Linked DNA regions of Schizosaccharomyces pombe. The protein of the gene in region 1 binds, or shares a complex with, the protein of each later gene. Each region holds a gene or a part of one and is shown in the gene's direction. Other genes may lie near its edges.

Region 1 (3,323 bases):
CATGGCCTACATGTTCAAGTACGACTCTACCCACGGTCGCTTCGATGGCTCCGTCGAGATCAAGGATGGTAAGCTCGTCATTGATGGCAATGCCATCGATGTCCACAACGAGCGTGACCCCGCCGACATCAAGTGGTCTACCTCTGGTGCTGACTACGTTATCGAGTCCACCGGTGTCTTCACCACTCAAGAGACTGCCTCTGCTCACTTGAAGGGTGGTGCCAAGCGTGTCATCATCTCTGCTCCTTCCAAGGACGCCCCCATGTACGTTGTCGGTGTCAACGAGGAGAAGTTCAACCCCTCTGAGAAGGTTATCTCCAACGCTTCTTGCACCACCAACTGTTTGGCTCCCCTTGCCAAGGTCATCAACGACACCTTCGGTATCGAGGAGGGTCTCATGACCACTGTCCACGCTACCACTGCCACCCAAAAGACCGTTGACGGTCCCTCCAAGAAGGACTGGCGTGGTGGTCGTGGCGCCAGCGCCAACATCATCCCCTCCTCCACTGGTGCCGCCAAGGCCGTCGGTAAGGTTATTCCCGCTCTTAACGGTAAGCTTACCGGTATGGCTTTCCGTGTCCCTACCCCCGATGTTTCCGTTGTTGACTTGACCGTCAAGTTGGCCAAGCCTACCAACTACGAGGACATCAAGGCCGCCATCAAGGCTGCCTCTGAGGGCCCCATGAAGGGTGTGTTGGGTTACACCGAGGACGCTGTTGTCTCCACTGACTTCTGCGGTGACAACCACTCCTCCATCTTCGATGCCTCTGCCGGTATCCAACTTTCTCCTCAATTCGTCAAGCTCGTCTCTTGGTACGATAACGAATGGGGTTACTCCCGCCGTGTCGTTGACTTGGTTGCCTACACTGCCGCCAAGGACAACTAACTAGCTAATCATCCCGATGCTAAGAAACGTCGGGTGGGTGCTTAAAGGCAATGCAGGAAAGTCTTTTGGAGTTGTTTTCCCCGTTTTTTCTTTATGTTAGACAAAGGAGTCGTTGTCGTTTGCAGTGCGGGAGTTTTCTTTTTTAGATTTTCGCATTTTTTTTGTGGACGCGCACTCTATGTGAATAAATAGATGGATGACTTTTTTACAAATTTCCTCTGTTCTTTGATACCCTCCTTCTCATTCATTGTTGCATATATTTTTTTTAATTTTGTTGCAGTGATGAGATGGCTGAGCGTTTGTTTTTGAACTTATAAATACTTATAAATAAATTTTATGATTTTGATAAATACTTTTTTTCGTTTTGGTTTGTGATACGTATAGTTTGCCTGTCTCCTTTTGTAAATGATCTTCTTTTGTAGTCTTGTGTAATCTCTTTTTCATTTGGTCAACTTAAGTGAATTTTTTTTTGTCAGTTTCCTTGTAGGATATTATGTCAAAGTCTTATTTATACTATATATTATTGCTTTGGTGGTGAGTCGCATTTGTGGGGACGGTGTTACTTTACTGATGGATTTAGGTAGGAGGCATCCACTGTCCCCCATTTCGCTAGCTTAAGTTTAATATGAAGATGCACTTAAGCATGAACGCCCGTTTTGATCTTTTTCACTTGTACCGCGAAGAGCTTGTTTTACTGTTTTTCCGTCTGCATCCCGAGAACTAGTTGATCTCCCAATGCACACTTTAGACTTTATTCAAACCGAAGTCGGTTTTGTAATTTAAAAATTTTTACCCACTGTAAAGTACAAACAATTCATCGCTATGTTAGTTGTGTACGCTACTAGCGCATCACATGATTACATGTTAATCAACAAAAACGAAAATGTTTATTGTCAATCTAAAAATACATATGTCCGTTAAGACAAAAGTATGAGGCTGGATGGAATGAGCAATGGTAGCAAAAGGTTTCCGAAATGGTCATATCATTTTTTCAATTTTTGCTGATCTCAAATACCTCAACTTGTTTTATTCATATAAATAATTTGTTTTTGCATATAATCATAATAATCAAATTCATTACCATCTTTAACACAACAAACTTGCATGATATTTATTCTTGTTTGCTCTTACATTCGGCATCCAACGATCATGGGTAACTTGATACCTGTGGCTTAAGGAGCTTGTAGCATGCCATGATTCTGCTGGCAGACACCAAATTTGAGGCAATGCCACGCGCACAAAAAGGCTTACTCTTGGTTGAATGTGACCCAACCGTTAAGCAATTGATTTTGAACATGGACGAACAGTCTCCTGGTATCGTTATCGAAGAGATCGATGAAGAACGATTGTTAGTAAATGAAAGTCGACTAGAACAGGTGAAAGCAGAGTTAGAACGACGCCTTGAGGAAAATACATATCAAGTTGAAGAGTAAGAAGAGATTAGTATGACGAAAGTTTTCTTTGGATGATGAACTGAATGTTTCAGTCGATGGACGAACCTAATATTGTACGATTAATGGATCATTCAATGTCAACGATCTATGATCATTTTCTCAATTTTAAATTGTAAAAAAATTTTAAAATAATGCAAAAAAGAAATTAATTCTACCTTTTATTTGGATATGGGTGAAAAGGTTGGTTTATTTTTTAATGACTTGACGTTTGTGTCAAATTACATAACAGTACCCAAAACTCGTGTACCGATGGGCAAAAATTATGAAAGGAGCCAGCTGATTTTGTATTTTTTGAAAATAAGTTTTGAATATATTGTTAACTACGCCGAGCTATTCAGTAGTTGCTTGCAAGTCTTTATTTAATTTTTAGTATTGAATGAAAGTTTATACTATTTGAATATACTATACTATCTATATAATTAATATGTATAATAAGAGAAATGTTCTTCTTTGTCTAACGATATTTTTATGCATTCCTAATTGAAACTTGGTGGTGTTTCTAGAAAGATAGTTCAGTTCATACGCGTGATAACTTTTTCAACACCGGGAACTGGAAGAACATACAACAAGGAAAAGGCATAGTTTCATGCTTGTCCTATAAACAAATGAACAAGGAAAAAGATCAATAAAGATCAATTTTGCATATTCTAAACCATAGTGCTGGGAGGTGTTTCGGTCGTGATACCTGTTCCACCAAGCGTGGAACTTGAAGTAAAAGCCTGACCTTTAATACCGGCAAAGGTGTAACATAAACCAGTAAGAGCGAGCACAATGCCGGTGGCAATAAGACTAGTAGCCATAAAGATGCAACTGAGAAAGGTTACCACGGAAAATATAAAATAGACAAGCTAAAAGAGTTAATAAACACTGTATGTAAAAGACAGCAGGAAGGCAACAAAGGAATTAAAAATATCCAGAGGCATGCTTTTTCCCCTGTGTGCCTTTCTTAAAAGAAACTATAACAACTTACACCACGGTAATAA
Region 2 (3,757 bases), on another chromosome or scaffold:
CCTTATAAGTGGAAAACCGAGATTCTTTGGTTCGATTGCACTTATATTACAGACGTAAACAAAAGGAAGCAAAAAGCAATGCTAACCTTGGGCAAGTAATAAAAGTCAAACTAGAAAGAATCCTCATGAATAGCTGTATATAATCGACAAGTCGTCAGCCATGGCAAAACCAAAAAAGGAAAATGACTTGGATCTTCTTATACAACTTGCTGACGGTAATAAATGAACATGTGTAAATAAATAATTTTCTTACATTATTTAGCATTGGAAGCTATACCGGGTGATTTATCCAAAAATTTTACGGAAGTCCGTTTTTTAGAGGCTGAACTAAAGGGTAAGTGATAGTGGCATTATAGATTGGGATTTTTTGCTTGAACAACTGTGAAGGTTTTGATAATAAACAAAAAAATGAAAGATTACTAGTGAAACCGTTCTGGTGTTGATTTTCTTTGTTAATGTTTAATCAATCTGCTTAGGACTTGTTTGAACCTTGAATATGTTATTCAAAAGGACTTGAACGCTACTGAGGCTTATAATAAGTTTATGTTGTTCTTATCAAAACTTGCCTATCTAGAGCTTGCCTTTTTCTGATTTAAAATGATTAACATGTTCAGATGTGTATTCACAAGCTCTTTCTTCAATTGATGACCTTCTTAACAGAGATACTAGTGTTGAACGTCGTAATTTAGTCGCTCGAAACTTATCATTACTGTTAAAATCCGATGATGTACAAACTCGAAAAAAATCCCACATTGCAATGTATGCAGAGGCAATTACTCATAGTAATGTTTTACGTTTAGAACACTGTTATCAAAAGATGGAAATGAAATTACCAAATTTTTTTATTCCTTTCACTCCAGAGGTTATAAAAGAGCAAAAAACTTCGAGACCTATTAGAGCATCCCGGCGGAGAGCCAATTTAAGGAATCGCCGTGCTAAAGAATTGCTAGCAGCTGAAAACGCATCGGAGGAAGGAGATAAAAAGCAAATAATCACGGATTCTGGTAAACTACCAGAGACAGAGGAATTAACCGAGACCACAAATGAAGACCTCGACATCAAACAATTCTCTCCCTATTCTTCAGAGAGCAGTGCAAACGTTTCTTCTTACAATAAATCTTGAAACTTACGTAAAGCCTTATATTATTAAAATTCTTGCTTTTTTGTTTTTCTAATTGAAATACACTAATAATAGTTTATCCGGGATTAGCTACTAAATTCTAGTCATTCAACAGAAGTCACTTTGAAAACATATATAAACTCATGTCTTTCCATACTGATTCGAATGGAGGTAACTTCTTTCATACTTAATGCTACGTTTAAAGAGTTTGCATGTTTTGGAAACAATTACTTGATAATACTACCAGGAATTATGTTAGAAAGGAACGTATTTAGACATTTGAATTACTCTACAAATTCTATTTGTAGCCACTATCAGTTTTTTGGCGGACATTACGAATCTTTTGAACTTTTAGTAGTGATAGTTTATTACTTTTCACATGTTGGTTCTTTCTCTTTGGCTGAGATATATCGTATTACCTGGGATAAACGCATTGTACTTTATGGAACAACAACCACTCTTGTCTACTGCTCTGAAGGGTCGGATTGATTGCGTATATGATTAATTCATATTGTATTTTTTTAAAAATAAAACAGGGCTATAGTTTTAGATAACTGTCTCTTATAGGTTACCTATGTTCATAGCTCAACTTAATGAGGATATATTTACCCAAAATCTAAGTGTATATGATTTGGGACATCAAGAAACCATTCAAAACTTTTATTTTTCTAATGATTTTCGTAGTTTCCAATGTTCATCCTGTGTCTAACAAATCTTGATAATTTCGTAAAAGACTAGCGGTGTATTCCACAACTACCAAAATATCTGATGGGAGACAGGGTAGAAGCATTAGCCATATTCAGAAAAAAACAAGGTAAAATAACAATTAAATCAATGATTCTAACATGCAGGCGTATTATCTATCGATAGTAGATTAAAATGGACGGGGGAAGGGAAAACAACACCATCAGTAGATATTGCTTTTGATGCAATTTCGAGTAATAATAATTGTTGCATTTTCGAGATTACTGACAGATTGATAGATCTTCAAACTACTCCAGCGTCTAATCCAAAAGTTATGATTCGTGTTTTTATAGTAGTAAAGGAAGGTGAAGATCCCACTTCTTTAGTATTTCATTTCACCGGTACTCCTAATGCCAGAGAAAATTGTGATATGATTACTAATGAGTTGAGAAATGCGATACAAAGACAAAGGGAAGGCTCTCAATCTAAACCACAAGGAGCCAATGTCGATCGTGTAAATTCTACGAATCTAGAAAAGGACATCGACTTACAAGAGTCTTTGCTTACTAACAATCCCGATCTCTTACAAACATTTAAGGAAGCAGTTATGAAGGGACATTTAAGTAATGAGCAATTTTGGAGCACAAGGCTTCATTTGCTCCGCGCTCATGCTGTAGAAAGGTCTCAGCAGCGTGGTCCTTATAATGTCTTGTCTACTATTAAACCTAAAACAGTGGACAACCAAATGAAAGTTTCCCTTACCGGCCAGCAAATTCACGATATGTTTGAACAACATCCATTGCTCCGAAAGGTATATGACAAGCATGTGCCTCCTCTAGCAGAAGGAGAGTTTTGGAGTAGATTTTTCCTTTCCAAGCTTTGTAAAAAGCTTCGTGGCGACAGAATTACACCAATGGATCCCTCTGATGATATAATGGATAAGTATTTAAAAGATAATGAAGGTAATTTCTCCAACCTAGATGAATTCCATTTCTAACATTTTCAAGAGGTAACCAAAGTATCGGATGAACCTATTGCATCGCACCTCTTTGATTTAGAAGGAAATGATCAAAATGCAAATGTAATAGCAGAACTTAGACCTGATATCACTATGCGAATTGACAAAGAAGCTCTACCGTTTATGAAAAACATCAATCAGCTTTCGGAAAGACTTTTGGAAAAAAGTTTGGGGTATGTATATTCGGTTTTATTAATTGTTATTGCTTCGGTATGCCTAACAACTTGTAGAAACTCTAAACGATTTAACAACGAAAATGAAGAAACATACTTAAAAGAATCTGGTTTTCACGATTTAGAAGAAGAAGCCAGTGACTCTAAAGTTGTCTTAAAAATCAAAGGTCAAGATCAGTTATTGGAAAATAATTTTGTCCCCTCAAAAAATCAAGTTGGTTTAGAGCCTTTGCCTTCATTGGAAGCTCTTCAACATTTATACCAGGAAGATTCGATAAGCTTAAATCACATTGAACATGATTCTGACTCTTTGGCTGAAGCCGCTATGCAGCTTACTCAGAGTATGCGCGAAAAGCATGAGTTTGAGACCCACGGCACTGCATCAAATTTACCTATTGACATAAAAAATGAAATTGTTTTGTGCCATACCGTTACGATAGAATTTTTGCATCAATTTTGGAATGCCTTGTTGAATACAACTTTCCCGGACAAGAAGGCGATGGCCCCCCTTCAGAATGCTCTGTTAAATTCGAAAAAAAGGGTGGAGGCAATTGCGAGCCAGGCTCAGGAACAAAACGTTGATCCAAAACTGGTTTATGAGGTAAGTTTTTTTTGTAGAGATTTTGATTATTAACTAGGATTAGTTGGTATCCTGTACGCTCACTTCTATTGATACGTCAATCTCGGAGTATCAAAGACGAATGTCTTATCCTCCTGCTTAGGTTTGATAATGTCTTTGGAAACTCAATTGTGCTTGTAAAA

Evidence for each region.
Region 2: tfb5 (region 1) and tfb1 share a complex: the UniProt entries of both Schizosaccharomyces pombe proteins name them as parts of the 7-subunit TFIIH core complex.

The regions. Positions count from the first base shown.
Region 1 is NC_003423.3:2,807,762-2,811,084, forward strand, and holds tfb5 (transcription factor TFIIH complex subunit Tfb5), read left to right. Parts: upstream 1-2,112; coding exon 2,113-2,319; 3' UTR 2,320-2,778; downstream 2,779-3,323. Other genes in the region: glyceraldehyde-3-phosphate dehydrogenase Tdh1, read left to right, coding at 1-886; SPOM_SPBC32F12.12C (golgi membrane protein involved in vesicle-mediated transport), read right to left, coding at 2,988-3,188, 3,311-3,323. UniProt on the Schizosaccharomyces pombe protein: Component of the general transcription and DNA repair factor IIH (TFIIH) core complex, which is involved in general and transcription-coupled nucleotide excision repair (NER) of damaged DNA and, when complexed to TFIIK, in RNA transcription by RNA polymerase II.
Region 2 is NC_003424.3:3,520,502-3,524,258, reverse strand, and holds the start of tfb1 (transcription factor TFIIH complex subunit Tfb1), read left to right. Parts: upstream 1-1,869; 5' UTR 1,870-1,888; coding exon 1,889-1,934; exon of another isoform or gene 1,935-1,971; coding exon 1,972-2,058; exon of another isoform or gene 2,059-2,103; coding exon 2,104-2,766; exon of another isoform or gene 2,767-2,811; coding exon 2,812-2,995; exon of another isoform or gene 2,996-3,052; coding exon 3,053-3,596; intron 3,597-3,639; coding exon 3,640-3,717; 3' UTR 3,718-3,757. Other genes in the region: protein Png3, read left to right, coding at 161-215, 263-334, 615-1,123; SPOM_SPAC16E8.18 (uncharacterized protein), read left to right, coding at 1,286-1,609. UniProt on the Schizosaccharomyces pombe protein: Component of the general transcription and DNA repair factor IIH (TFIIH) core complex, which is involved in general and transcription-coupled nucleotide excision repair (NER) of damaged DNA and, when complexed to TFIIK, in RNA transcription by RNA polymerase II.